Drosophila melanogaster: one gene and its partners. The protein of the gene in region 4 interacts with the protein of the main gene of each other region in a pairwise test. Each region holds a gene or a part of one and is shown on either strand. Other genes may lie near its edges. The genes, in order: dsx, abd-A, Cpr100A and hth.

Evidence for each region.
Region 1: the proteins of hth (region 4) and dsx interact in a protein complementation assay, tested with the Drosophila melanogaster proteins (one study listed by BioGRID).
Region 2: the proteins of hth (region 4) and abd-A interact in a protein complementation assay, tested with the Drosophila melanogaster proteins (one study listed by BioGRID).
Region 3: the proteins of hth (region 4) and Cpr100A interact in a two-hybrid assay, tested with the Drosophila melanogaster proteins (2 studies listed by BioGRID).

What each region holds. Positions count from the first base shown.
Region 1 is NT_033777.3:7,962,430-7,970,439, reverse strand, and holds the start of dsx (doublesex), read left to right. Parts: upstream 1-3,031; 5' UTR 3,032-3,977; intron 3,978-7,653; exon of another isoform or gene 7,654-8,010. UniProt on the Drosophila melanogaster protein: Controls somatic sexual differentiation. Binds directly and specifically to the FBE (fat body enhancer) of the yolk protein 1 and 2 genes (Yp1 and Yp2).
Region 2 is NT_033777.3:16,823,629-16,831,894, forward strand, and holds the start of abd-A (abdominal A), read right to left. Parts: upstream 4,478-8,266; 5' UTR 4,376-4,477; coding exon 3,507-4,375; intron 2,680-3,506; coding exon 2,423-2,679; intron 1-2,422. Other genes in the region: MSAmiP (MSA micropeptide), read right to left, coding at 7,883-7,945. UniProt on the Drosophila melanogaster protein: Sequence-specific transcription factor which is part of a developmental regulatory system that provides cells with specific positional identities on the anterior-posterior axis. Required for segmental identity of the second through eighth abdominal segments.
Region 3 is NT_033777.3:30,864,509-30,871,973, reverse strand, and holds Cpr100A (cuticular protein 100A), read right to left. Parts: upstream 4,454-7,465; 5' UTR 4,303-4,453; coding exon 4,291-4,302; intron 4,068-4,290; coding exon 3,820-4,067; intron 3,757-3,819; coding exon 3,291-3,756; 3' UTR 2,790-3,290; downstream 1-2,789. Other genes in the region: CG15545 (uncharacterized protein), read left to right, coding at 1-20, 104-916.
Region 4 is NT_033777.3:10,609,032-10,617,284, reverse strand, and holds the start of hth (homothorax), read left to right. Parts: upstream 1-3,008; 5' UTR 3,009-4,285; coding exon 4,286-4,300; intron 4,301-8,253. UniProt on the Drosophila melanogaster protein: All isoforms are required for patterning of the embryonic cuticle. Acts with exd to delimit the eye field and prevent inappropriate eye development.

The DNA of each region.
Region 1 (8,010 bases), 2.6 Mb from region 4:
ACACAAATCTTTAAGACCGCAATTTAAAATTTTGAAATGCATTTTAATTGAGATGTTTCGTAAGTTAAAACAATTTACTTACTGCTGTGTATTTAAACAAAATAATTAACTATAACAAGGATAGCTTGAAAACATTATTTGAAAATCCGATTAGGGCTGCACAAGTGCTCTTTTCTGTGGAATTTAACCATCCACTTGTTTAGTTAAGTGTGGTGTAATCAAAATTGTTTTACATGAACTCCGAAAATTTCCCCATTAATCTTGAATAGCAACTTTAACAATTTCACGGAAGCAGTTTTGACTTCGTGTACATATTCACCCGATCCGTTCGGTGGAAATGCAAACTGACAGCGGTTGATATACATTTGCGATCTGGGCGCCAGACTTGTGTACGATTCGCATGCCTAAGCAACTCGACTGGCTACCCAGTTAAACAGGAGAAAAAATTGGCGATATAGTGAGGATTTTTATGGTTGTACGCAAAAATTGTGATATCTCTGGTAAATATGATTTATAAACTAAAATGAAATATTCCTTATTTTTCATTTGAATACAAATTGCTATTACTCTTTTTCAAAAGCATGATTCATTAAAAAATATGGTAATTCAAGGAAAGTTTGGTTATAAAATTCTAAAAATATTCTATGGTAATAACTTCTTCCGCCACTTTCGACCTAAAGTAATACATTCAAAGTAGATGCAATTTTTCTCAGTGTACTTATCTACCCACTACCGCAAACTAAGCCGAAAGACCTCCTTCCGAGTCGCTAACAATGTACAACAACTTGTAGAATGGCCATAACAATTATAAAACACGAACACGAGTCGCTCGCGGGGAATTGCGATTGCAATGGTAGGCAGCGGGGTGAGGTGTCTGCGGAGGCAGACTGCGGTTGGCAACTTGGATTACCTTTATCTGGCTGCCGGGTCATCCGGAGAATTCTGCGCCCAGCACTTGGCAGCATTCCCCGATGTCGTCGCTGTGTCGTGTATCTTTGGTGCGGCTTTCGAGGTGACAACTGCGACAGCTAAACGTCAATTTGTATAAATGTTTGCAATTGCCACCGATGCGTCGGTTGTGGTGAGTGTGGAGTTGTTAAAAATAAAACACACTGAACGCTGATGATCGATGCGGGGGTCGCAAAGGTCCTACAAGGAAAAAAGAGTATCTGTCAGATGCAGAGAGTGGAACTGGGAGCAAGAGAGCAGATCATAAATAAATATTTCCTTAGCAATTTGCATTTTTTCTGACCGCCCGAGTGTTTGTTGTTTGCCGTTCTGCCCCAAGTTTGTTGGCGTTTTTTGAGAGCGCACTCGGCCAAACGAGTTTCGATTCGGATGCGTATCCGCGAGATACTCTTCCCGCGCCGCTCTTTGCTAATTGATTTATGAGATTGCAAATGCAGATGCCCCCAGCCAAGCTCTTTCGACACTCCGCCATAAAAAGGGCTAAAATTTGTGCGATCCAAGGTACAAGAAATGGTGCAAGAAATGCGCCTTTAAAGCTATGTGAATTTTATCGTTCTACAATCGGCACGGGATCAATTGGTGAAGATGTAAATCGGATTTGGATGAAAAATGTATCCCCTTGCCTATGCAATATATACAGTTTCATGCAAATCAATGACAAAGCCTTCCGCTCTCACTTTCGTAAACATTTTTTAAATAATATGTTGTAGTACCCTAGTATGCAATTATATTAAGTTTTCACATTACCTCGATGATATTGATAGTTAATATAATAAGTAAGTAATTTTCTTTAAATTCAATTTTTGTATGAGCAAGTCAAAATAATTACATAAATTCATTAAATTTAAGTCACTTTATCACTTCATTTATTTAAATATTAAATTAATAACTTTTGTCTCTGAAACACTAAACGAGAATCAAAAACGGTTAATTAATGAGTATTATCTTAATGTTTTCTGATCGCTGAGCCATTCATTCCCCTACAATTTGGTCACCAATGGGAAACTACTGAAGTACCGAAGGCCCTTTCGAAATCGATTCACTGCCCAAAAATCGAACTCTCGACCATTTTTGGTTACCTTTTTGGGAGTTGCGTGCATCGCCTGAGGGAAGTATCTTTTAATGGAGCCGAGCTTCGGCAAAATTATCTCCGCCGTACTGTATAAACGATCCTGACTAATATAACGGCTGACGATGAAAGGGGACCTTTCAATGTGATAAATGCGAGTGCGACACACGCAAATCGCTGCGTCTAAAGGTGGCATAAATACGCGGCGCAGGCCGAAACCCAGCTGAGTGGTTCGACCTATATCGTCGGCTAGACGCCCAAACCCGATTCGATGCTCCCCATATCTGGCGCTTCTTCTTCTCGCGCCACGCGGAAAGAGAACGGAAGAGAGAGAGAGAGCGACCAGAGTGCAAATTTACGATCGGCACATGCAGGCGGGAGACGTCAATGTACGGCAACAAAGTTGCTCCACTCGAGCTTCTCGCAGAGATTCGCAAAAAAACACGCGAACTTCAAGAGAGAATCGCTCAGAGAGGAAGAGCACGTCTTCGATGTTTTATGCTCCCCATTAATGGGGCAAATGCACTTTACACTCTCGCAGACCCGTTTCTCTCCGTAACTCTCTGTTGCCCAAGATGCTTTCGTTTGAGTTCTTCACATACCAACGTTGCTTCGAGCTTATGAGTTTGCTAAAAATCGTGGGAACCGATGAAAGAAATGCCCTTCTATCGTATAAATGTTTCTGTTTAAAAACTATTTACTTAGTATTTAAAATAATTGACCGTTTTTCGTATTTCACATATTAAATAGCAACACAGAAGTAATGAATATTTTAAAACATTTTCCGTTCAAATACATAATTTTTTAAAATACATTTTATTTGGCTGATATTAGCGGAAATTAGCCCTTAAAAGTATGCAACGCAGGTAAGGAGAATTAAGTATCCGCAGTGCGGAACCTATATTTTTCGCGGCGAATTTAGCTCATATTACATACGATTTAATAGTTTGCAATACTTTTTTATAGTTCATAGTTCATATTGTAAGAATTGTGTTTAAATTATGTTATTTTTAGCATGGTTTACTTATGGAAAAGAGCATAGTTAAGGGTTTACAATGAAAACGGTCAAATAAGGGTATCCATATCTGGTACCAAACCAATTTGCTTTCTCCCAGTTGATGTGCAGTGCATCCAGCAGTCGAGCAGGTTGGATGCTCGCACTCGTTTCTTTTTTCGCGGTGCAGCAACCAGAGTGCAAATACAAATAGCAAGAGCGTTGCGTCGCCAGTCGGTGGGCCCGTCTCTGTGCCAGAAACACATGCTCAGTTTTAGGTCCGCCCGTCCGCCTGAATGTCCGTGTATCTGTCCGCTGTCTTTTGGTCTGCTAGTCGGACTGGTACTGGTCCGAGTGTTAGTATCGTGCACGGGGAGCTTTAGCTTTGTGGCCGCAACCAGTTTGCTGGCATCGATCGTCCTTTGCAGGTCGTGCATGTCGCGTTGGCGTCTCGCGCCGTCCGCGTTCCGTGCTCGAAATCACAATCTCAAGCTGAAGTGAAAAGAACTGGAGCGGATTCGGTACAAAATTCTGTGCGATAGTTTTTAGTTGCTGTGCGAGGTCCGAAAATATCTCTAAAATGCGTTGACCTACAGGGAACCAGATCGAGCCGCGAGTGCCATGCTAAACAAAGTCGTTTGCGGCTACAGCTTGTACGGTTTAAGATAACAAATAAAAGAAATAAATTTTTACCGGCTTCACACTCTCACTCTCGGTCCACGAAGCACTCCTGACCGTCTCGTACCCAGCCGATCGGACTCCCCGTATCTCATCGAGTTCGCCGAGTGCTAGTGCTATATTCTCTCACTTTGCTTGCATAACCAAGAGCAAAGCACACCTCGCGGAGGCAGATCGCAGATGCAGATACAGATACATATACTGCTAGTGGTCTAGTAGTGGACCTGGAGATACTCTAGCGAGTGCATGCAATTGGCATTGTACCTGGTAAGTGAACGATGAGTTACGAGCGCTCTGCGGCCAAAATGTGCCACCACTCCGCTCCGTTTTGCCACCTTTTTGCCCGGCATTTGGGGGCGTTGCAAACTGCCTTGTAATTGCCTGACATAAATGCTCGTGTGTACAAGGCTTAATGGCGATAGCAGCAGGTACGCTCAGCGATTGCCATCTACAACTGGCGGTATGACTGCTGAATGGGGGGGAGCCAGGGGTTCAGGCTATTGTCTGACTTCCAAATTAAACAGGAAACGAGCAACAGGTCGCGTTTTACAGCCACACTATGAGACTCCCGCATTAGTTTCTAAGATTGGGATAGCGTAGGCCATTGCCATTGTCGTTTGCGATCGGCTATCCTAGATGACTGCATACATATAAGGCAAATTGGACCAAGGTCTAAGTGGTTATGAGGAAAATGCAAATGACAAATACGGAAACCAACTGGCTTAAAACGATAAACACGTGCTGAATATTTTTATTCAAATTAAAGTTGAAGCGAAGGCGTTTCTTGTTAATTTTAAAGCTTACCATCGATTATTCACGAGTGCTGCAATTATAAAAAATATATGTAAATTAGAACTTAAATTTTTGCCAATGCTCATTGTGTATAGCGCGAAAGGACAGTTTACCTTTAATATTTTGTGTTATCTTGGGGATAATTATTCATTTCTTTTGGCTATTATTCTTGTCATTTGTAGTCGAAATAACATAGTTAGCCTTGCTAAGTTAAAACTCATATTTTAGTGGGCGTAAGAGATCATTAGTAGAAACTGCAGCTTGCTTTCACTCACGAAATCTCGACTTTCATGAAGACGGATGACGCAAATGGCAAGATCGAGTACACCTGTCTGTAGTCTTAAAAAAAAAGGTATAAGAACCTAGCATGCCGTTTGACTCCTCAGCAAACATGCAGACTTTTTACTCATAGATTTATATTAAGTAAGTTATTAAACCATATTAGCAAGACGAATATTTTAGTATAATATAAATCTGAGCTTGGTACATTTTCCCAAGAATATATACAAATATAAAATACCTGTAAATGCATTTTTCTTAGTGCACAGTTATAATGATCTGTACTCAACTTTTTAAGCTGCACCCCACTTGCAATTATCATATAATCGACTTAAGGTGCTTTTGCCATTTATAACGCCGAGCTGTCCTTGGCCCATTAATAACCTGAAGTGGGTTCTTATCGTGATCTCTTCCGCTTTAGACAAATTAATTGAGCATACATGCGCAAGCTGCACATTTTTTATGCTCGCCCGTAATCAATTTAATCCGCTTTTCCTTTGGCAACTTTGACCACTGTTTCCCTGCTTATATTTGTCATTATTTCCACCAAACACAAATATTGAAAACTGATAGCCAGCAGGGTCTTTCTCTTAAAGTGGCTCTTCGGAGGAATTATTTCTCTGCGGGTCTCTCAGCTCATACAAATTAGAGGCGACATGCAAGATAAGCAATCTTGTGCAGTTTTTAAACACACAGGCAAAATAACAACATTTTGCCGTGGCCAGCGGGAGGCGGTGGAAGAAGGGGGCGGGTATCTGGTGCTAGCACGAATGTGAGACCCGTTATCAGCACATCGTTCATGCTCAATTTACCCTCCATTTAAATACAGGGTATTAACTCTTTAGACTCCGAAATTAAGTCATTACAGCAAACGAAAATTGAGACAGACAAACGCTCACACTACATGTCACCTAGCTAATAGATTAAAATTCTCATCGATACTGGCTTTCGTCTATGTCACATATATTTCTCCCTATCTTTCGTTCATTAGGTTCTAATCAATCGTCAAACATTTTGAGTGTGAATCTGTGTGCATAGGCAAGTTCAATGAGTCACCATAATGTCAAACTAAGTGCAAATTAGATTAAACACGAATCAAACACGCCAGCAGGTGTGGAGAAAGTGGACAAGAAGTGTAGAAGAATCTTATATTCCCTATCTATATAATATAGAAATATTAACCACATTCTTCCCATGTATACTTTTTACTTATATTACTTATATTATTTGGTTTTTTTATTATTGATATGTAATTGATTGATGTAAAGCTTTTTTTATTTTTGTGCTTTAGAGGGCCATTTATCGATTTACGAGTATCAACATATTTATAGGCTTAACTTATTTAAGCAGGTAACAATATTTTGGTTCTTTAAGTTTGAGTAAACCCATTAAATTAAAAAAAATGTTTTTTAGAATTCCTCTTTTCCATTAATTGTTATTATATTTTAATATCTTTCTAAAATTGTTATATATCATATGTATATATGTATATAATATATTTACGCACATACATAAGTTAAAAGAGTAATAGAAATGCCACGAATTGCACTTTTATTTCCAACCTAGTTAGATAAGAAGTATATACATATACTATATTTCAATGCCATACCTCTAAAACCCATTTCCAATAGCCCACTTGAAACCATTTCCTCGTATGTAGTGGTTATCGACTGACTGACTGTATATAAATGATTGGAGCTCCTTTGTTAGGTAGTTGCACAAGCCTCTAGAAGACCATTATACCGGAGTACCGTCCACAAATATCCACATCACTCACACGCCCTTTAGAACGAAAAACTAAGCAAAACAAATGCAATAAAATTCGCAGCGCAAAGCGGGCAAGCAGAAATGCAAAAAAGCAATTAAGAGGCGGAAGGCGAAACTAAGACTACGTCGAGCGCACTGCAACTCGAACACAAACAAGTTGCAAGGCGACTGCAACCGGCATCACAACACACTCCAACATTCACAAGTGCAGGGAAAGCAGCGACACCAACGAATCGACAACAACAACGCCAGCCAATGTGTGTGAGGCTGCCTATGTACTAGTCCGTCCGTTTGTCTGCGCGAGTGTGTGTGTGTTTGCTGCATGTGCCAGTATGGTGTATGGTGTATTGGTGTGCAGCCCCCACATTTCTCCAAATGCACGCAACGTCGACGCTGCACAGTGGAGCCAAATCATAGGGCTTTATTCACAAATATTGAAGCCTCCTACATATAAAAAGATATTTTCTGAACTTTTACTTATGTTTTCATGTGTTTCACAGTTACAGTCTTGGGAGTTCAGGAGAAAAACTCTTTTCGATCCACGTTAAACTTAAAAGACGACGATTTTTGAAAACTGGTAACATAGAATAAATCCTAAATTCAAGTAATGAATGGTTCCTTTGGTAATTTGAAGAGACCATAATACGATTTGTTACTTCCTTGGTCCCTTGTTAAAGCTATTTTAGACCAATGAATTAAATAAATCCAACTTCAAGAAATCCAACAAATTCAAGAAATAAATAGTTTCTTTTAAAATATGAAGAAAACGTAATACTAAAAAAATAAATAAAATAAATAAAATTGGAAGCCCAGCGTTACTCAAGCATCCGTCCAAACTCGCAGGATTATCAAGGACTTTCGGCCCACTGTGGCTCAGTTTGGTGCGCTGCTCTTGCTCTCTCGATGCGATTTTCGGTTCCGTTTCGTTGGCGGTGCCCGCTTCCACGCAAACACAGGCAAACATCGCACAAACACCAGCCAACTGGCGCACACACACACCATCGCACATCCGCGGGCCGGGCACCAATACTGACGCATTCGCTCGGCGCTTTTGAGTTCTTTGCATCCGCGTCTTGCGGCCCAATGTGAGTTGCCTTGTGCATGCCAAAGATTTCAGATCGGTCAGCAGCAGCAGAAGCAAAAAGCTCGGCTCGCGACTCGCGCGGAACGTTTTTTAGAAGTTGTGCGGATTAAAAGAGCAGATTTGTATTTGATTGGCCCTATGAATATTGATTTTTGCACGTTGCTATCGGTGCTGAATCAGTCGCTTAATTGGACTACAATCGGATTCTTCAGTCGCGCGTTTTACCGGCGGCTTTTGCAAGTCAGTTGAGATCGTGCAACACTTTCTGTGTGATTTTTTGTTTGTTGTGTGACGACTATTAATTGATATTTTGAAACATACAGCTGAAAGTGACTGTATAATTGGAATTGTGGAAAGCAAGTGTTATGTGTGAAATCA
Region 2 (8,266 bases), 6.2 Mb from region 4:
TCCAGCTTTTCCTGCGATTTCCCGCTGCTGCCCCCTTGGCAACATTGTTGATGTTGTTGTCGGAGTCGGTGCAACGATGTGAAAATGAAAATTCATTCAGACGCTTTGGCGTAAAATATTAAAATTCATTAGTTAAATTGCATTTGGCAAGCATTCAGCTGTAAAACGTTGCCGTTGTTGCAGCAATGGTTGTTGCAGTTGCTGTTGCAGTTGTTCATGTTGCCGGTGCGTCCGGGTCTGGGTCTTGGTCTTCGTCTGTGAGTTTTTTGGGTGGGTTCGCAGGCTTGGCAAAGTGAAAGCCAAACGAAAAGACTTTTCCGAAGGAGGCGAAGCGATTCTTGTGCAATCCACATGCAAGTGCATGGATATAGTGCCAAAACACATGCATATATACTTCGTACGTATGTATATACAGCTTTATGTACAGCATGTGCATTTAAGGAGTGGTGGATAAAGGGGGCTGCGTCGACGTGTCGCGCACTTGGCTGCCATAATGGCGTCATGCTCGTATTTACTTTCATCGCCGCCAGTCGCGTCTCTATGATCTCGTTGACAATTTTATCGCCTTGGCGCTGTGAGCGGGAGATATGCAAAATATTTCATTGTGCGAAATACCGTTTATCTTCCCAACTGGCCGATGCTTCGGGTTTTCTTTTCACCATCAGGTTTTGCCTGCAGAATGTGTGTATCTATTAGCTGGCCGGCCAAATACATAGGTGTGTTAGCCACATATTAATATCTTTCGGGGTATCGACGAACCAGAAACCCACTAAAATAGAGGAATGGATTTTTAATCTGCATAGATTAATAGGAGCGCTGGTTATCGATTTATTGACACCCAAATCTGGTCAAATATGTAAATTATGCTGGCAAAAAAAAAAAGACCGAGAAACTTTTGAACCTCTTTTCTCGATGATTTTAAGTTCTAATGATTTGACAAAATATACCACTTGATAAACATTGGACCCTTAAGCACACTACCTTGTTATCTCGTATTAATGCCATTATTTAAACTCTGTCTGCTAGATCGTCAATTAACAATTACTTATACTGTTTAATTAACATGCCTATGCCGTAAATTCCGCGTAAATCCGTCGCGCGATCTTTTTCTATTACGACGACCGATGTGCAGTCCATAAGTCAGGCCAATTGACAGTCTATTCATATGGTGTCTGCCATTAATCAGGAGGCATTCAACCCGCGGGGCAGAATGGAAAATTGAATTCGTTCAATTTCTTCTTGTGCAGCGTGGAAATCGAGTGGCCTGATGAGAAATGATAAATAAATCTGCTGTGCAAAATGCGCGGAAAAAGCGAGCGGATCGCGTAAATTAAACTGACCCACATAAATTTGAAGCGAGTTCGCCCGTACTACGTTAGCCGCATAAAAAGAGCGGCGGCCAAAAAGTATCTGTATCTGTATCTCTCGACGGATATGTGGATTTTGTATGCGCGGGGCACATCGCAGTGTTTTTTGGTCGGCATTTTGGGCTATACGTTTGTCGGTGTGGGGCAACCTTGAGGCTATTTAAATTACAAATCGACGCCAAATAACACGACAGACAAGAGAAGCATTTCTCAAACTATTTTCATTTTTATTTACTGCCAACTTTTTAGCTCTTCGTTCATTTCGTTTACGGATTCGAATCGCCTGGAAGACTTATGCGAAATAAACGACTTGGAAGTGCTCCGCAAAGTGTTCATTACGAATTGGAATTGTAGGCGAAATGGCGGTGCAAATGGGAATGCTATTGGGGAACGTTTGCGCCACGTTTATCTATTGTTTATAAAAGGTACGCAGCAACCATTCCAAATACTACACTTGGGAAATTTAATTCGATAATTCGACTGGACGCTTTTTGTTAGGTCATACAATTTGTAAATCAGTTCGAACCTGGTTTAAGTCTACGGGTTGTTAAACAACTTAGCTGTTTAAATTTTTTAATTATAGTATTTAACCTAACATAGCGACTAAATAATTCAATCCAATATAAGTTCTTACAATTTTTTATTTGATTTTTTGATTTCAGTGTAAGTGGCCATGATTTATATGTACACAAAAAATTTTAAGAGATCGCTTTGTAGATCTTGAAGGCAATTTATTCTTGATTTAAGACGATATACATTCCCTGAAGTGCACGGATTATTTCTGATTTTATAATGATTGGCATGATATATAGAACACAGTAGATACGATAGACAGACTCTTAATTTAAAAGACTGATTGATTGGCTCAGTGTGATAAACTTGTATTGGGATATGTGTGATTCTCAATTCTAAAAATCGGATAACTTTCAAGATTTATCAAATTTGGCACTCACATTCAGATCCGAAGTCTTTCACAAAGAGTCCGAATCTGGCAGTTATTTTTTTACTTATGTATAATATATCTCCGCACTATCGAGTATCGAGTTTTGACTCACCTGTAAGCGTCATCCAGGGATACCTGGGCAGATCGGCGATACCGGCTCCGCCCGCTCCCCCTGCCCCTGGCATCACGCCGGAGGCGGGCTGTGTGCAGGCATTTCCCAGCGAGTCCACGCCGATCGCGCCGGCACTGGCCGCGGATACCGCGGATGCGGCGGCTGTGGCATGTTGATAGAACTGAGCGAACTGTGCAGATGCCGAGGCAGGTACGCTCATCGACTGGTAGCTGTTCATGACAGTGTCCGTGTACCTGCTGTGGGTGTGGGAGAGAGAAAGTAGCCATTATTGTTGGTGATCCCTGCTCTCATAGTACGTTCCCAACTCCAGCGCCCGTACTAAAGTCAAATGCTAATGAGGTGGCCATTTGCATGCCCCTTTCACCAAACTGCGGTTAGCTCTAATTGCACACTAATCCCGAACACGCCCACGCACAGCAGGGTTCACTGTACATGCACATGGAGTGCCCATACAGTAGTACTAATATGCAAATGGCCGCAGCGGAAGGTCAGCGTGCGTGCGAATCTTGTGGCCGGCGACAAATTGCCAGCGGCCACCACAGGCTGCTCTAATTTTCCGACTTTATGGCCATTCAATATGAATGGCCGGTGGCCGAGAGGAAAATGGACAGAGTCCCAGGATCCGAGACCCGATAATTAGAGCGCATTCGAAACGGATTTGCGGTTTTGCAGTGTTTGCAGATTTTACTGAAGGTCTCGACTGGCATTTCCGCTCGCCAAATTGAGAGCACGCGAAATTAGTTCTTGGAAGAGCTGAGTGTTTCTTTTTTTTTGTATTTTCAACCCCGGAAACATCTTCTTAAAGGTTTTGAAGCCAGGTAAAGCTAATGGTCATACTAAATTTGCATATATTTTAAAATATGATACTGTCTGAGAAGTTCTATCAATGCACTCCAAATATTTGAATATCATATTAGATAGTATAGATCATTTGTCATTGACTTTATATTTGCACTTCCTATTAGGGTCATTTAAGATCATTTTACTACGATTGGACATAAAACCCATCCCGATTTATAAAAATCTGCATTATCCCATACTTAAACAGGGCAATCTATCTTACCTGCACGACTTATCCTCCAGTCCGGTGAAGCCGGCCATTCCGGAGAGCCCTCCATGGCTGCTAGGGTGGTTAGACACGTACGGATACATCTTGCTGGTGGGGATGGCAAACGAGGAGCTAGCCGCAGCGGCGGCGGCGGCTGCAGCAGCAGCGACGGAACTGGCCGCGGATGCGGAGGCGGACGCGGATGCGGACCCGGGAGAGTTGTCGTTGAGGCTGCGGTGTAGCGAGGAGCTACCGGATGCCGAGGGCGATGGGGAGCAGCTGCTGTCGCCCGCTTGAGAATTGCCCGCTGACGGGGGCGTTAGCAACAGTTGCTGGTGGGCGTGTCCGTGCGAGGCAACTGCGGCGGCGGCTAGTTTGCTAATGTGGTGTTGTTGCTGCTGTAGCTGAAGAGCGGCCGAGAGCGAGGAGTATTGGTGGTGGTGTTGCTGCTGCTGGTGGTGCAGATGTTGCTGCTGCTGGTGGTTCAGGTGTTGCTGCTGCACCTGTGGGTGGTGCTGCTGGAAGGGCGACGATGAGGAGACGGGTGAGTGGGGCGATTGGCCCAGATGTTGGCTCAAATGGCTCGGCGATAGGGATCCTCCGCTCAAATTGAGATTACTGTTGTTGTTGCTGCTGCTGCTTGGACTGCTGCTGCTATTGTTGGTGTTGCTTGTGTTGCTTCCAGCGATCGTGTTGCTGCTGTTGTTGTTGCTGCTGCTGCTGGCTGAAACGCTGGCGGATGCAGAGGCGGCGGCGGCGGCTAGGGCGGCGGCAACTGCTGCAGATGACGAATTCGGGGGGGTGGTGGTTAAGTGGTGCGAACTGATAAACGGCTGGAACTGTGGATACTTTGGCAGCATACTATCGAAAACAAATTTTGACATTGCACATATTTTGCTCTCTGGCCGAGGATCGGATCTTCGGAATTTCGTTTAGTCCACTTGTTGTTCTATTTTAGTTTCGGAGATTTCTGAGTTCGAATGATTTGGGTTCTTTATCTGAGTCGTTTGGTTAATGGCTAGATTGAGTATTTCGTTTTATAATTTAAAGTTTCCTCTTTGTGTGACTTTAACAAATTTTGTTTGAATTCAGCGTGGAGAGGAGCGCTTTCTAGCCATAATAAAACAAAAGTTCCGACTACTTCTGTAAGCACAACCTAAATCTTAAACTTGAATGACTTTATAATTCAACACTGTGAGAAATAGCATTTTAAAAATATCTTTTTCTTTAACTTTTTCATAAGATTTACACAGCAATTTAATTTGTATCAATGTCTATTAAAATTTACTTGTCTTTAATGAACATCTCCCGTCTCTGTATTTAACTTTTCTACTTCATAATCGAATGCAAACTACATTGGACTTAGTATATAAATCACTAACAAAATTAATCGAATTAAAAGGTACTAAAAACAAAAATAAACTTGGCGTCCAATGTGATAAACAAGAATTAAAAATGGCAAAACAAAAAATATAACATGTTTATAAAAATTACTCGGAAACCATAAAAAGAACATTAACCAAATTGAATATGTTTGGATTGAACATAAATCTTTCGGGTAGCATGATACAGAACTCAAGTGAAAAAAATATATAATCCAAATGCTTTATATATTTTTCAGCTAGATTTCCCTGCCAGTGCCAACGAGTTAGTATGTGGGTTACTTTTACAGTACTATATGAGATGGCCAACAGTTAGTACTTTTTAGATAGAGTTAGTGAGACAGAATTCGGAAACTTTGCCAGCTGCCCGACTTTAAGCTACTTTTCTCGATTCCGAGAAGTGAAATGCATTTTGTTACCTTTCTCAAGTTTTCTCTAGCGAACTTTTGGCGAGCAGCTTGTATTTGCAGCTTTTCTGTTTCTGTTACTTTTTTCGCTCGAAGCTGGCGAATTCACAACGAAATTTGTTAAATTTGCATATGGTCTCGGGTTGCGTTGTATTTGCAGCTGTGGCACAAGTGTGTGTGTCGCATGTGTGTGTTTGGGGTGTGTGTATCTTTTATTTGTTGTAAAAGCAATTAAAATGCGGTCATCAATTACGCGGAAATTCGAATGGACGTCGTGCCGGCGGGATTTCGTACGTGTGATTTATAGGCGCGCGATCTTTTTTAATGGCACTCTTGTATTTTTATGGCAGAGTGAGTTTCCTGCGGCTTTTAACGACTTCTCAAGTGCGTGAGTGTGTGTGTGGCCGGAGAAATGCTTTCTCCCAACGTTTTGCTTTAATTACTTTGTTTAAAATGTCATAAAACACTTTGCAGGTAGAACTATCGAAGTCTGGAACGGAGAGGCGAGAACCTTTTTACGATGTCAACTTTATGTCTTTTTAATTTTTACGAACCGCACACAGTGAGTTATAAACCATAGTGTTTTGACAGTTTTTTCGGTTTTAAATTTCACACACAATTTTATTATATTTTACGCGATCTATAACATTTAAGTGACAATAAGCCGGCGGCCGAAACGGAACAATAAACACGGCGAATCGGAAACTGAATCGTATTGCCGCACTACAGTCGTATAGTCGTATAATCGTATAATCCGAATCGGAATCGGAGGGCCGAAATTCCAAAGAGTGGAGAGCTGAGTTCCGCAGACACTACTGCGCGCCACGATAATAAATATTATAATAAAACGAAATTTTTAAAAGAGTATAAAAATTTCGTGTAATTGGTAATTCTTGCTGCCAGCGCGGGCAGCGGCGTCGACAGAAACGGCGGCAGAGCGGCAGCGACTGAGGCGCTTTGAGTCGTTGGAGACTTTGAGTTTTGTCTGTCTACGGAGGGGGTTTTCCTTTATATTTTTTGTTTTCTATTTTTTTTTTTTTGGGGAGACCGCTTTACGCGCGAGAAGAGAAGCGAAAGCAAAGCCGCTGCGAAACGTCGAGCGTTGTGGCGTTACGAGCAGCGAAACGTTTATGGCGCAATACAAAAGCCATGCGAGCGTTCTTATGGGCAACTGGATGCTGAGTTTGTGACAATTCATTTTGGCTCACTCCCTGACTCAACGTCGACTGCAGCAGCGGCGGCAATAAGAAAGATGGCAGCGCAGCCAGTTCATATGTCTGTCCCGCTTTTGCTCGCAGGCACTCAGGCCGAGCACCGCCGCTGTTCTCTCTCTCTTTCCCGCTCTCTCGCATGATGGCCGCCTCGCTGCTTTGAGTGAGTAATTTCCCGATTTGAGTGCCTCTCCTAATTTCACTCTTTATAACGTGAGAATGGAAACTATTGGAGCCCCGCTTTGAGTGCTATGCTTTTTAAGTGTTTTATGCTTTGTTTGGCAAAATGTTATTGTTGATTAAATTACCGTGCATTATTCATTTTGAGTGCGCTGCCTTTGAGTGAGCGTGTTTCAATACAAATTAGACAAAATTTATATTTGACTTTTTTTGTGGAATCACCCTCTTGTGGTGTTTCAAAAAAAAAAACCCTTAAATTTCTACAGATAAAAATGCCGACTCGGCAAAAAGACAGCACTGCCTCTTCTTTTTTCGGCCACCGCCTTTTGTGCGCCTTTATTTTCTCTCTTTTCTGTTGTCACTGGAATTGCTGTTATGACATTTTTATGAAAAATTTCAAATTTATGGTTGAAATTGGACAACACACAAGCATTTTACTCATGCCTCTTCTACTATTGCTCTCATCCTCCTTCGTAGCGCAAATGTGTGCGGAAATAAAGTGAATCTGCAATTTCTTAACTTTTCTACTTAGAGAACTTTGCTATCTGACATTTCGAAGGATTTTACACAGAGAGTTAAAAAACGAAAAGAGGCATTGTGAGTGGAATTCAATTTTTTAAGTCTTACCAAATATTCCAATACATTTTTTGTTGGTCATTAGGTAAGGAATGTAATTATAAAGTTAGGATTCAAATAAAAAATTTTTTAGCATAGGCTAGACTTGATAAGTGAAATTAGGACATCAGGTTTCATTTATGAAGCGAACGTTCTTTCTAAATATAGTTATGTTAAAAAAATCAGTAGAAACAATGTTATAGTTTTTCTATATTTATTTTTGTATTTTTTATTTAAATCATACCACATCACAACATTTTCTTATCCTTCAATTAAATAATTTTTAGCCATTTAACACTCATAAATTAACCTTAATAAACAATTTCTAAAGCATAACAAATTTATTTAAATTATTTCTTATTCATAAATCTACCAGTTAATGTGCTTCCTACCTGTCTATTTGTTGGAATACGACTCGTGCTCAAATTGGATTGCCAACTCTTTGGCTATAACAATTGAATAATTGATCCATCAGCGGATTGGCTAAACAATCAATTTTTGGCACACTGGCTTCTTAATTCTTTAATGACCAAAGGTGTATTACGGTCAAGGGGGAGAAGCAGTAACGGCGTTAATGGCCAGAGAGCGCTTTAAAATTAATTGCTCATAAATTCTAAATTAAGCATTTTGCCACACTTTGGTTTCTGCTTATGGGTCATACAGCGAGTGCGAATGAGTGGATTTACTCATGCACTGAAAATATAACTGGTAATTTTATTTTGTATAACCTTTGATGATGCAAAATTCGTATTATTGTAACGAAATAGTATTGAATTAAACTATTTTTATGACATATTACTAATTTATACATGATGGAACATTTTAAGTAACTAAATTTAACTAAATAAATTCAAAATGGTTTTTAAATAAATTAAAAAGTTCTTTAGGTTAATTCAACTTGTTATAGAAGCCCGAAAAATGGTTTATTGCTGTGATGTATTTGTAATTGAATATTATGTCTAGCCGTCCAATATTTTAAA
Region 3 (7,465 bases), about 20 Mb from region 4:
ACTACAGACCCTACGGATCGGTAAGTTGGCCTAACAAATAAGATATCAAATAATAGGAAAGATCTAAAAGCCCGAAATAATACAATATTCCCCTAAAATATAGCAAGAGGAAGAGGACGAACAACGCTACAATTCCGCGGAATATTCAGGAGAGTCCTCCGTTCAGGATAGTCGGGAATACACGATTGGCACCCAAATTCGCGTCCAGCATCCCATAACCGTGCCCAAGAAGTCCAGTTCCGGCTACCAGAAGCAGCCAAAATATGTGACGGCCATTCCATACAAGGCATCTGGTTATGGATCCGATATCCACAAGCCCTCCGGTTATGGATCCGATGTTCATATTGGATCTGGAGAGGATGTTGGACCTCCTCCGAAAAGATCGAAGTGGACCCCAGTGCAATACGAATCGGAAGCCGATCCCTTCCATCTAGTGCCACCTCCAAAGGCAACCGTCGCCTCCAGCAGCAACTCATATAGTGTTTATGAGCCCGAACACGATGACTACGAGGTGGTTCCAGTGCCCCGACCAAAAAGCCACGATCGCTACAAAAGCGTCGCCTCCAAGAAACAAGTAGAGGCCTACCTAGAGGATCAGCAGAAGCTGCTCGACGAGGCCATCAAAGTTCAGCTTTTGAACAATCCGAAGCTGCAAAAATTCTTCAAGGCCCAGGCGCAGGAACAGGAGCGGGAATCGCGGCCAGACCTCGAAATCGAGGATTTTGAGGCCTATCCGCCCAACTTTTCGGGGCCCGGACACCTGCGCAACAAGTACATCGAACACCCACCATCTTCTCCGCCGAAGGGATCTCGATCACGCCGGCGTCCTCCAAGTGGAGATCTTAACCGACCACCCAAGACCATCATCAAACCGAAAAGGAAATACCGATCCACAGCACTGGTCATCAATGTGTGAGAGGGATTACTAAGTCCTGACTTAATCGTTAATTAAAATATCGTTTATAAATACTTAGAGTAGTCTTGTTGTACAGAGTATTTTTAAGTAATAAAAGACCATTTATTTTAAATGCCCCTATTTAAATGACTTTATCTTGGAAGTTTGGTGTTGATATGAAAGAAAATTATGGATATATTTTGATGCATTTAATTTATAATTTACGAATTTTAACATACGAGTTATTTGGCGCTTAGGAGCAGTTAAGCATAAATAGTTGTATATTTTATAAAGTGTTTTAATATACTTTTCTGTTGTATCTATCAAGAGAACGGTGGCGGTCTCTATCGGTTTTTGAAAGAAGTATAGAGTCTCGGTTCTTGTCTCAGCTAAATGTATGGTGTCCCGGCTTTTCTACCATTTCATGAGGAGAATTCGTCACCAAAGTGAATCCGATAAGGAGTGTTGCTGGCTTATTTGCTTAAAAAAAAAAAGATTATATCACTTAACTCAATTGCAAATAACCTTTCAATTTAATGATGTTTTCAAGTTTATAATACGCCACTTTAATTAAATATATTAATTACTCATCAATTTAATTGGATTCTGTATTCGTCACACCCACATCGCCATAATTGGAGTGAGTTCCACATTTCACGACAAATTCTGGCGACGTTTACCTTTTTAAAAATAAACGCAGTCAATCATAAACGTGTGTTGTTCATAAAAATAGACGTATTAAGAACACTTTGGAAGCAACACACCCATGAGACACCTGTTTCGATCCCAGGCAAATTCTCGACTCTTACCTCTTTCGCAAATCCGAACGAAAATCCGCAATTGAGCAAGCCAATTCAATCGATTGCGATTGCCGCAAAAGTGGGTGCACAAAGGCACGCGGAGAAGAAATCATAAAAAGCAATAAGTAGCAAAAAACAAAACCGAATTGATTTTCTTAATTGACTAAACAGTTTCAACAGAAGCCAGACCCCAAAGCCAGGCAAAGCAAAAATCCAAACTCCAAGCCGGACCCTCGAGTCCACAACAAATCTGACCTTGAAAGCTAAGCTCTGAAAAGTGTTGCTAATATTGTTAATGTAATCGTTGTCGGTGGTGAAAAGGAATGCCAACCAATGGATGTGGAAAGTACAGAGGGAAAAATGCTAAAAATAAAGACAACAATAAAATGCTAGCACTAAAAATATTTAAAAAATAAGTAAAAATGGAATCATGAATAAAATATAGTCAAATTAGAATAGATTTTGAGAGATATTGAATGAAATCAATTATTTCAGCATGCCCTGAATTAATTTATTATTTCCGAAGTAAATATATAGGTATAAGTGCAATTAAATAATAGAATAGCAATCGGTGCTCGAATTAAGTTGTAAACTATAACACACATATGCTGAGAACTCAGCAGGTGAGAGGAAATAGCAAATTAGCTGGCGGCATTCTTGCGTTCGATGGTGCATAAAATATGCAAAACATTTGGATGTTATTAAGTTGCACTAACGCAACTGGAGCCTGACGGATCGCAATACCATTGGGAATTGATTTAGAGCCCCAATCCCCTAATGAACCAGTGCCACCCCCACTTGCACATGGTTTTCCGGCTTAGCCAGCACCAGCACACCAGGCTGATTTCATTTTCATCGGAATTTTGCACAATTGGCCAAGATTACTGTCAAATGAGCGAAACCCGTTTGAGGTCTTTCCTTGTTGGCCGCATAGAATCGTAACAGAAACTCGAAACTTGTTTTGCACGTACGAAAGTCGGTTGTGTAATGCCGCATTTAGTGGGCGTTCACCACCCGAGGTGTTTAGATAAATCTGCTGGAAATTAAATAAGCGGCCACTGGCCGAAAAACAAAAGACTGCAGGACACGAACTTGGTTTCCTTCATATATTGTTTTTACTCGATTATAGTACAAATTGCTCAGACGTCCCAAGGCCCAAATTAACATAGTTTCTAAATTAATTTTGATCATTTTTCAACATCATCGAAGTTTATTGACTTCTCTTTTCTTGGGAAGACTTAAATGGAAAGATTAAAGTTTAATGGGAAAGTCACAGAGAAAAAGGCCGACATTTCTTGAGTTTTTTCATATTTCAAAAATATGCAAATGATATTTTGAATATATTTTGTAATTTAAATCAGCAATACCCATTGGGCAGCAGCGATTAATTTTCTCTGTGTAGGATTATAAATTAATAACAAACAGTACGCATATAGGAAGTACGATACAATTGCTCTTAAACATATCACACGAGAGTTTGATGGAGTCAAGAAAAGAGTAGGGGTTCTAGTTGTGATAGGGAAAGTTGGAAAAGAAGAAAGAGGATCCCTACTAATGAAGAAGATGCATAATGTCTGAGTGGAGGACAGTGGGGCTTATACCTTGTTGAAGGAGTAGGTGAAGCCATCGGGCGTGCGGTTCAGGGACAGTTTGCCGGGTGGCGAAAAGCGGTGTGGGTTGGGGGTGGTGGTGGTGTAGTACGCCTGCTGGGGTTGCGGCTGCTGATACTGGGGTTGGGGCTGCTGATACTGAGGCTGGTACTGCTGCTGCGGCTGCACGGGCTGTGGGTTGTAGGCGGGCTGGGGAGCAGGACGGTACTGCGGCTGGGCAGCGGGCTGCTGGTAGCTCTGCTGGTTCTGTCCGAAAGAGGGATCGTTGTAGCGGGGATCGTAGGAACCATCATCTCCGTAGTCATTGCTGCGGAAACTGGCCTGCGGCTGGGGAGCGGGAGCCTGGTACTGCTGCGGCTGGTACTGCTGCTGTGGCTGATATCCCGCTGTGGGCACGGGCTGTGGTGGAGCAGGTGGTGCCTGGGGCAAGTGATCTCCAGAAGCTTGGAAACTATTTCGGAATAAAAACCAAATTAATACAAGTTCGGGTATTTGTTCTATAGAAAGTGCTTACCCATTTTTGCCAGCTGTGTACGAAATAGTACGCCTCTGGCCCGTGGGATCCAGATAGCTGTAGCTGCCATGACGTGTTCCATCCGCATCCGTCTCCTCCTTGAAGTTGATGCCATCCTCCTGCTCATAGGCAGCTCCGAACTTTCCATCTCCGGACAGATAACGCTGCTCACTGATGATGGCCGCCGTTTTGGGATCCTGGTGATAGTGCTGGCTGGAAGCCAGGGCCACCAAGGTGGTCAGTGCAAGCTGTCAAGAATTCAAAATTTATTGTACAATCAAGTATTTGTGTGCTGCCAATTCCTTAATCTGAGTCATTATCACTTAACGTATTATAAGGTAAGACTTTCACTATTTAATGTGTACTCTAGAATATCCTGGTTTGAATTGACACTTTTGTCCGTCAGTTTGATTACTTTTCTCTTAATAGCTTTTAAATTGTTCGAACAGCCTTGAATAAAACACAACTCACAAATCTGAACATTTTGGTGTGGGGAATATCCTTGTCAAGCGTAAACTGCACACAATTTTATCTTCTTCTCGAGGGGGATTCACACGCGCCTTTACGCTTACAAGTCGGTTAAGAGGGAAATGGGACCGACGGCAACGGATTTGTGGAGTTAACTGCCTTCCGCAACGGTGCCGCCCAAGCTTTTTATAGTCCGAGCGGGAACCTTGGATCGCTGGATCGCCGATCGACTCCGCCTAGGCACTCCAAGCTATGTAATTGTGTTGGTACTATTAACGTTAACGGCAACAACAAGTCGGCCAAGTCGGCGTAACAATAACAAGAATCGAGCTAAGTGCTCCAATAAGTCAACTTTGGGCGAGTATTGGTATCGCGGTCGTGTTGCCAAGTCGTTTTACCAGTTTCGATCTCTTTCGCTTGGAGCGCCAACTTTTGCTTTCTATATATACGAATATATGCTATATGCACTTAGTTCCACCGTTTCTGCCTGCACCAGGCCCAAGCCCAAGACGAAAATATTTTTTAATTATTTCAAAAGTTTTTCAGCTGTAATCCAGCCTCAGCGCAGAGGTATCCTCATCTGGGAGGGGATCTATCGAAACCAGGAATTACCAATTAGTTCTGCAGAGCATGATGCAATTTTAATGGCAATAGTTTAGTTTAAGAGTAGGAAAAAAGGAAAATGTATGGAAAATACAAATAAAACGGGATATAAAATAGATTGAATAATAGTATTGTATGCCAATAATGTTGGCCTAAGCTAAAAAACAGAAATAGAAAGTAACTACAACACCCTGTGGAAGAAATTGGCAAAAGCCTCGTCTTTATTGTCTTTTTGATTTTTCCAGTGTGAAAAGCCCGTGGAAACTGTCGATTGTGATGGATAACTGGGCGGTCGCCCTCTGCTGAAAATCCGAACATATCTTGGGAAATTCGCCAAATGAGCGTTGTTAACTTTTCACTCCCCTCTTCAAGTTGTAAAGTTGTAAAGCCGTTTGTTTGCCTTTTAGCTGGATTTGCGTTCTGCATGTGCATGGCCAAGTTGATTTATATCTAGATCGGACTGAAAAGCTGGACTTTGTGGTGTGGCCAAAAGCGCTTGGCAACAATCGCCAGTGTTACCGCAATGTGTTTGACTTGTTGACTCTGCGCTGGCTTCAATTATTTATTGTGTTTGAAATGTCTGGCATTGTTTGGGCTTGTTTATGGCCAAAGCAGTTGGCCGCCCACCCACATGCCACACGCCCACTCCCACGCCCCCCACTTTGCGTAATGTTTGCAGAGAACTTTTGGCATTATTTATGATCTAACAATGCAAACAGGTCTGCATCTCCAACTTTGGTTATTTGAAGTTTTATATCTAGAGTCAAATTAACATTACATTATCTATATCGATATTCATTTTAATTTTAAAGAATTTTTCTTAAGCCCTAAAATTGAACGTAAAGAGAATTAGAGCATTTATGTATGCAAATCGGGTTTTCATATTTTAATGAGCGATTTCCACACAGCGGCACACTCTTGCACACAAAGTAGCCGCATGGGGTCGAAGATTTCGAGTAGCAACACTCTCATTTACACCGTTATTTGCCCTTTTGCAAGTCGCCATCGTCTGAACATCGCCATCATCATTACCATCGTCATTATCCGGCGGTCTTGTTTGTGTGGCCAAAAGCGGAGAACGCCCTCTCGCAGCAGGAGGCGGTGATCAGAGCAGAAAGCGGTAAAAGGAGGAGGAAATTAAATCAGTTGACAAACAACAACAGGAAACTGCAGCTATGGCATATAGTTCCGGAATATATACTTGATGTGCGAACGCCATGGCAAGGAGGCGATGGCAAGAGCAGCGGATCCAAGGTGAGGCCGAGCAGTTGAGCATGGCCGGATTAGCTTGAGGGTGTGCCCATCGGAGGGTTGAAACGGTCTAGCTACAGTGATCACTCGGAAACTAGAAATTCTAGAATTTCCTCTACTTAAAATATCTATAGAAATGGAACTACAGTTATATCTAAAATATTTAAAGATCCTTTTCTCTTTATTCCTATAGCATTATCTATATTTCCAACTTTATTATTAATTAATTCAAAATATTTCATCTAGTTAAGTAACTAAATCCGTCATGCTCGAGCGGCCACTGTACTCCCGAAGCGTCCTTCTTCGCTGGCCTCTCTGCTGCTGCCTTTTTGATTTCCATTTCGATTTTGAGGCGTTTGCCTGATGCGACGATACTGCCACCCAGAATTTCGAGGGAGGGAGTGGCACCAGGAGGTTGATTTTTGTTGTTATTTCTGTTGTGATTCCGCCGTCATCTCCAGCAGTCAGAAAGAGATGGCTGACGGGCCCATTCAGCGTTTTATTTGTCAGGCTTTCACTTTGGCCGAGTTAATCACAATCGGCGAACAGATAATGAGGGTTGAGCCCTCAGGGAGGGGATGCATCATGCAAAGCAGAGCGTTTTCCTCATCCTCATCCACGTCCGTCCTGTCGTAATTCCGCGTTGTCTCTCAATTATTTCAGCTGCTATTCCGAGCCCAGGAGCCTGGGTCAGAGCTGCAGACCAGGAAACTAGGAACTACCACCCGAACAAAGCGAAAACGAGCAGGCCGATATATGTTCAGACAATTGCGATTATTTGTAATTCAAGATGCAGTCGAGCGTTTTCTGAAATCGAGCGAGTCAACTCCGCGCGGAAGGTTAACAAAAATTTAATGCTAAACGCTTATCGGTTCCATCATCACCATCTACATCTCCATCTCCATTTCCATCAGAAGTCAAAACCAAACTCGCCAAACTCGTCGGGAAATTCGATCCATTTATTCCTGGTGGAAAAGAGAGCGAGCAAGGAGAAGGCCAGGAGTTTGAGATGGGGAGATGGTGATTTGATAGCTGATTCACGGATGACCCTGCACACTCGTCAAAAGTCAGTCAGACAACTCTAGGTACACTGCGAAAAATGCGTATATTCCTTGAAATAAATATTGCACTATGATTAGGTAAAGTTAACATGGATTTTTCAAAAATAACAAAACTTTTTTAAATTTTTATGTGAGCTCGAAAGGAATTAATATTAATTGCCAGTGCATATGATTTCTATAATATTCATATAACTAGAAAATTTTCCCTATGTATTACCCCTAAATACTGCTTATCCAAATCCGACTTCAATCACTCATCCTTT
Region 4 (8,253 bases):
CATGCCATCTCGCTCGGCGCTCTCTCCCGCGCTGTTCGGCGAATTCAGACAAAAACAAACCATTAAAAGCGCGGCGAAAAGAGCGCGTGCACTTGTCTGTCAAGATTATGGCGGTTTCAGTCACTTTGTTGCTGTTTCTGTGTGTTCGATGTTTTTTTTTCGTATTTCGCAGCGACGGCGAAGAAGAAGAAGAGCGCCGACGGCAACTCCTATTTTTCTTCATGTGCCATTTTTTTGTTTTTGGCTTTCTGTTTCGGTTCTTGCTTGAGTGAGTGAGCGGGAGCAAGCGAGATGGCGCCACATCAAGTTGATATCGTGTCGTCGTCTTCATCTTTTGCTGTCGCTCGTCGTTTGCGTTTGATAAATTGCGTTTATAAGAAAGAGATGAATTGTCATGCACACAACACACACTTCTCTGCCGGCGTCGACGGCGACGCCGACTGCACTGCCGGCGTTAACATCACTGTAGGTGTTCGCAAGTGTGTGCCTGTGTGTGTGCGTGCGTGAGTGTTTAAATCATATTGGCTGGCCCCCCAATTGGTGTGAGTGCACGTGTATGGGTAAGCTTTCCCTCTCTGCCCTCTCTTTCGCTCGTCTGGGATTGGAAGTTTCCAAATGCAATTTTCCTTGAGGTTTTCCCGAGTCGGTTCCTTTTCGGCTTTCTTCTTTCATTTTTTTTTCGCTCACTGGGTGGAGGCCCAGCCCCCTAAATTCGCTTCCTGCCCCTCCTTTTGTACACCCCCCCCCCCACCGTTCGCTCTTCTCGCTTCTTGATTATTTTCCTTTTTCGGTGATTTAAATTTCATGGTCCCTTCAATTTGGCAAAGTTCTAAATATTAAATTAAATTCCTGCTTCATTTGCAAAAATTCTTGAGCTTTTCTGGAGCTGTCCGCTTTATTTGCATTCTTCGAAATTTAAGTTATCTGTTCTTATTAAATTTCATCTGAAAACATTTTTTCACTCAGTATTATTCTACGAACTAAGTATATTCTATTCCTCAATTAGCGCTTCTCAGAAAACCTCGAGTTTTCTTAAACAAATAAACTTCATTTGTCTAACATTTCGTTGGGATCCTTGAACTTTGCTACCGCGTCGATCGATCTATTCGAATTTAACTTGGTCACCGATAAGTCTGAAAAGTTCCCACACTTAAGCGTTTCACTAATTTATTGCACTTAATTGATTCGATTTTATGTGATTTTTGTTTCACATAAATTACTTGGCTTTTGGCCCGAGCAGACGCACAAAAGTTGGACGTCTGAAAAAGCCAAAAGAAAGCGAGTCCCGAAACGAAAAAAGGGAAAAAGCAACCGCAAATCAATCAAAGTCTCATAAATTTGTCAAAGTGTTGACAAGACGCAGAAACAGAGCACCTATATCATACATAGTTCCCAAGATTTTGGGGGTTTGGGATTTCGGGATGAAATGGCAACCAGATTAAGTGCAACATCATCTTTTTGACCAGCGAAAACAGACACGGGAAATCCTTTTGGCGAGCGTCGGAAAACAAACAAGGCTATTTTTCATTTTCCTAAAAACGCCGGCCAAATCGCCCCGTCTCTCTCGCTCGCCAGTATCCCCGTCTCTTTCGGCGTAATGGCAACTGCAGCGCCAAGCCAAAAATACGCTGGTGAAAAATGGCCTGGGAATATGTGTTAACTGCTTTTTAAACTGCCACGAGGACGACGACACGACAGTAACAATAACAGCAACAATAGACAGGATTTCGGACTGAATACGAAGATTGGCATACCTTGTTACCCTGTAGTTATTGGTAAAACAAATTGGACTAATTTATTTTAGTTTAAAATGTAAAAAAAAATTTGTACAATCACGCCGAAGATATCACAATTGACTGAAAATTGCCCAAACATACTTGTCATCAAAAAACTTGTTCAAATAATGCAAAAGCCCGTTTCCTCAATTTTTTATTTTTGGTTTGAGATGTAACACCATTTGTACAGGGTATATAAAAAACCAAATGAGAGTAGATTCGCCAAACAGGAGCGCAGAATGACCTGCAAAATATGCAATTTTCAGCGAATGTTTTTGACAATTTATCGCCGTTCCATTTGTTGTTGTTCCCCAAGAAGTAAGAAAGAGAGAGAGAGGAGAAACTCGAACAGCTGTTTGTTGTTGTCAGGATCGCATATCCTTCCAAAGTGGCCAGATCACCGTTACAAGCCAAAAGGACGCAATAAAGGAACTGCAGCGAAAAGTTTGTTTTTGTCGTCCACGTTTCTTCTTCTTCTCCTTCAAGTTTCTTCTCTTTTTTGCCGCTTTTCTTCGAAGGCGTTGCCTATTCGGGCAAAAGTGTGTGTGTGCGAGTGTGTGTGGGGGCGCCAAAAGAGAGCGAAAAGTGAGCGAAAGCTGAAGCTGATGGACAACTGAAGCTTTCTCGCTGCCTTTCAACCTGTAAAGGTGCGGCGAAAAAGAGCCAAGCTGCCAACTGCCACTCACTCAAGCGAAAATAACAAATGGGATTGGTTTTTGCTGATTTTCGACGCCGACGCCGGCAGAGGGGCGAAAAACCCATAAGCCGTCTCCTTTTGGCCAAAGCCAAATAAATTTCAAACGCGGCGAACATTGCGCAAAAAGAGGCGAAAACTGAGAAAGAGAAAGAGATAGAACACCGCTGTACGGTACTGTATATGCATGTGAATGACAAGTGTGTGTATGACAGAAGAGGCGTACCAACAAATCAGTCATCGTCGCCCAGGATGCGAGCGCGCCTGCGCAGGCAATTCGCCGGAGCGTTCGCATAAACCATATATTCCTCTCGCTTGCACTCGCTGAGTTATGGCCAAGAGCGAGTTAATGGCACAATTGTTGCATCTGAACAGAGCGGGGCAGCTGCATGATTGACAATCATGCCGCACCGCTTGCACCCGTTGACTTTGCTGTTGTTTGTCGCTCAGCGCTCTCTTCGCTGTTAGTTAACAGCGATGTTAGGAGTGGAAACACGTCCGACTGTAGCGTAAATTCAAACGTATCTGGCGGGTTGGTTTTTCGATGAAATATCTTTCATCCGCACAGTGTATTTTTGACTGCGAAGCGCGTACGACGTGTGTCTGTGTTGCGTTGCGTTCGAATAAAAAAGAGAAGAAAAGCGAAAAAGTGTTGCCGTCGGTGAAGTTTATTATTATTATGATTATTATTATTGCCCGTTAACCACGCGTTTTGCCATCAATCAACAAATAAACAACACAAGAAACACTTTGGAAATCGCGCGCGTTTTTCCATCGCGCGAACAAAACAATCACGTTTTTTAGTGTGTTTTTCAATCACAATCGAAAAGTTCTCCTTTTCACAATTGAAGGCCAAAATAAATACTGTTATTTGAGGGCCGCGGAGGGAATTTCTTTCAACGAGGGGATCCCGCCGATCCCCCCGCAAAAACAAAGAAACACGCAAATTGCCGTCGCAAAAACACAACAGAATATATTGCATTATATATTAACAATATAATTTGTTCATCTCTAGTAACGTAGTATGTAGAAGCAGCTGTGATAAATAGTGCGCATATTATACGAAAAAAGCAAAAAGAGTATACGACAAACAAATAAAAATTAAAAGCAACCACAACTACTACTATAAAAATAACCAAGGAAAAGGCAAGGAAACTCGCAAAACGAGAGAGAGAGGAAAAGGGAAAAAACGCCATGGATTTATGACAACAACAAATGCAACCCAGTAACAAATGATGTTGCAGCAACTACTACAATACACGAGTATACCAAGAACATCAACAACAACAACTGCAACGGCAACCAACAACAAATTGTATACGATTTTTATAAACCAAACAAATGCTATGTAAATAATTATTATAACAAACACACAAGTAAAAAAAACATTCAAAACCAGATCTCCCGCTCTAGAAAACAAACAACAAACGCGCGCGTAACAAAAACGACAACATCAACAATACAACAAGTATACAAACGTAATAATAATACATAAAATCTAAACAAATGTGCCTGTGTTAAAAAAAAAGAAAGCAAAATCAAGAAGCAAAGCGTTCAAAAAGCAAAGGCTTCCCAATACATGAAAAAAGTGCAAAACATATATAAAAATCCAAGAAAATAACATCCAAAACTGAAGAACTGGAAAAGCCAAGAGTAAATCTAAGGACTCCACACGGGCAGCTACAGTAGAGCTTCCCTAAAACCGAAGCAGTTGCAGCGGCGGAGCGGGACGTCGGTCAGTGTGTTGCGCCCCCATTTGTTGTTCCTACTGTAAAAAGTGGCACAAATCGGGTTAGACGTCGCTCCCAGAGCATTAATGGCTCAGCCCAGGGTAAGTAGATCCACCAAAGTTCACTTTCTAAATATATAGAATCCATATAGAATGGTCCCCCGAGAGTGTTGTTATCCTTAAACAAGTTCCGACGGCTAAAAAACAAATGGGGTTCAGTCAATTTGTAATCAAGTCAAGTGGTGCCGACGGCACTTACAGGTTGTAGTTTATGATGATATTGTAACAGTTTTCATATCATGGATATGTTACCAGTGTAACCAAATCAATCTATAACCAGAATACGCAAAAAGTTTTAAAAATCTTCAGATATTAGTTAATCCAACTTCATGAAGTAGATCTATATAAATATTTCTTATACATGGCCTCCAAGCTTCTCCAATTTAACCCATTACAATCAATTCAATGGGGAATAGTTCTTGTTTATTAGAGCCCTATCAAAATGAATTTTAACTAAGCGTTTCTGAGTGTGTGTGTGTGTGTGTGCTTATGTGTATTGGAATAGGACAGAAATCACATTTGATTTATGCGGGTCATTTTCTGGTACAAGTTTATATAATTAACTGAGTCTGCAGCTAGACCATTTTATTTGGGAAGTGATGGAAATCAAAGATCGCCGAAATAGTGATAGATATTGTATTACATTAAACAACGGTTTACTCTAGAAAATCATTAAATAATGTTTATTGAAAATTGTTAGCTTTTCCCCTTAACTTTTCATTTTCACACCGCAATAGTTGATTCGATTTTTGTTTAAACATGGCTGGGACCTTCACCTCCGAAAAGCCCCCCCGTTGCATAGCCACAATGATTCCACCATTTTCCATCACGTTTATAAGGCATAAATTCTCGCCTCGCTTTTTAAACGGAGTAATAATTTTTACAATCCATCTGGATCGTAAATTATATGCTAATCAGGTGACCGGCAGTCTCCGCTCGCCCGCTCTTCAAAAAAATATTATTACCAAATCGCAGTTAGACTTTATCAATTGATTATCATGGACATGCGAAGTGAACTTGATTTTTATTTAACGGAGCAAAAAGACCTCAAACATGGCCGTTTGCCTGTGTGTGTGCTACCAATTAGCGTGTGTGTGTGTGTGTGTGTTACCAAAAGGTGGGCCATGCTCTTTGGGAGCATTAAAAAAATCAGAAAGAAATATAAAAAATAAAAATGGATATGGAAATGGAAATGGAGATGGGAAAAAAGAAATGCCCGCGGGAATTTTGTGTGTGTCTGCGTTACTGGCGAATAAATTTACGCCTGTGGTTTAATACCCGATTCTGTGCCGAATTTACCTCTTTGAATCCCCTTTTTCGTAATTCTCCTGCGGCTCTTTACCCGAATCGCGCCATTTCAATTCCATCAAATGAATTTTTCGACTCGGGGCGAGAGATATATGTATGTATGTACGAGTATGTGAATATATACGGGTGTTCTGTCTGTTTGTGTGCATTTGATGCATATAATTTTATTGCACATTTTGCACATTGCCAGCGGCCCAAAAGCGATCCATTCAGTTTATGCCGCTTCGTGGTTTTATTATTTACAATTTTATTTTTACCATTTTCCATGACTTTGCGCTGCTATAATTTGCGAAAAATGGCGGGAAGCAATTTTCGCGGGTTCTTCTCAAACCAAACTGCACATGCATTTTTATATATATTTAATTTGATTATTTTATGCCATCGAAACGGAGAGCAAACGAGAGAAACAGTGAGAAAGAGCGGCCGTGTAAAATGTGCAAAAAAAAAAAATGTGCAATTGCAATTTGTATAAAAATGTGCATTGCAGCTGCTGCCATTCTCCCCCGCGCCCCCTCACTTTTCCCACCATTTTTCAGTTCGTGTGCCATTTCAAACGCCTGCGAAATGCAGCACAAAAATTGTTTTGGTGTTATTTTAATTTAAAGGTTAACCGCAGCGTAATTTGTGGCATAAAATATAATTCGTCTATCGTGTGCTCGCCTCTCCCACTGTGTTTGTTCAGCTATTTTTTGTATTTCTCGTTCGCTTTAGAAATAAAATCAAAATCAAAATAGAAAAGATCAAGGAGAGCGGAGCAGCGGAAAATGCCACAGTCGATTCTGTGGTTTACTTTAGTGGCCAGCAGCATTTGCAAAAGTTGATGGAAACATTCGGAATTCGACTTAGGTGGCAAACTAAAACATTTTTTTTGTTGAGCCAGGAAAAAAATTCTAGTTATATATGTATATATTATCAGTATATAACAATGGTCCGCTGAAATGTGTACTTTCAAATATACCAACTGCTGAACTCATTCCATTAATAACAATAAATTGAATTTGAAATTCCCTATGTTACAAAATAACATTCGTCAGCAAAGTATAGTAATATTTTTTCCCGCCTAGTCCTTATCATATTGCAATAGTTTAATCTTTGCCAGCGACCAACCTTCGTCGCGAATTCTTTTCTAATTAAGTGAGCAATTCTCCAGTCTTCCCAGCCTCACCGCATGACTCATGGGCTCCCCACTTACCCCCTTTGCCACGACCCCCCGTTTATCAGGAGATTTCAGATATATCTTGGCTTTCGGTTGAGAATCCGCTCGGCAGACGCTTCACATGCCAGCGAAAATTGAGCGAATAGGAAGCGTCAGGCTGAGAGGAATATTTATAAACAAATTACATATGCATATTTCTGCAAGGGGTGCGCAGGGGGAGGGGGTCATAAGACTCTATATGGGGCCTCCACTTCTCCCACTTTCCACCGATGTTGTTTTTCGTGTGCTAAAGAGCTTCATGTTTAATGATCAAATTGCGTGCCTGATTCTTGGGTCGGTGCCTGCTGGTGCTATATAGTTGTTGCCTTTGTTGTTATAGCCTATAGAGTAGTATTATTATTTTACTTATTTTTTCCCGGCCTCTCTGGCTTACTACAGCACACACATAGTTGCCAAGTTTGACGAGGTCGCTGGCTGCCGTTGAAAGTGTTTTCATTAGTTTCATTTCTTTTTGCATTTACGCTTAAAAGTTTTTTAAATATCGCTGCCCGTTTTTCGTTTGCCGTAATTTCCCCAAACATTAAGTCAAAGTGTTTTGCTAATATTCATCGAATAAAGTGGAATTACTATTTTTGCTGGTGGTGAACTCTTTTCTCCATCTTTATAAAAAGAAAAGAAAAAAAAACGAGGGACTGAAACGGAAAAAGTGTACAGACAAAAATGTGAAGAAAAAATGTGTTGTAAAGTAGAGGAAAAATCATTTAGACAAGTTGCACGCCGCTCATTAAATTAAATGAGCCATCAGCACGCAATTTATTTTCGTATTTTTGAGTAACTTTTGGCCCCGGCAAAAATGCCAAACTCCAAAAGACTTTTGTTTCTTTGGGCCAGAAATTTTGTTAGCAAACTTGGCCAAGTCCTTGTCTTCAGCAATTTAATTAAATAGCCGAGAAGTTGGGAATCAGATAGTTAATTTAGGCCAATAAAACAATTACTGAGAGTATATTTTCTTCTACTTGCATATTCCATTCGTCATTATAAATATAATATAATCAATTAACTCGAGACATATTCGTTTAATTCCATTTAAACACAAGTTTATTTTATTTGCATGCCATACTGCCTTTTCCGCCATTTTCCGTCAATTTAAATTTCAAACATTTTCCTTAAATTTCGGCCATTAAATTGTCTTCGCTTTCGCTGGGCTTTAAATTCCCAGAAAGCAGCTAAAAATATTTTCAAAATTTCTTTTCTTTCGATTTATTTTTGATTCGATATTTTTATGTATTTTGCTTGTATTTTCCGAACACACGAATTTTAAATTTACCTTTTTGGACAAATTTTTCGTTGCTATTGGCCGCGCTTTGTTGGCTTTTTGTTAATCATCTGCCAGTTTTTGTGTCTGCGAGTTTGGGGCTCATTTTAATTTAATAAATGCCACAGACTGACGTCATTTGTTGTTGATTTTTGATAAATGTTAAAACGCCAAAGTATTCATTTATTTTTTTTCACCCGTTGGTCGCTTTCAGTT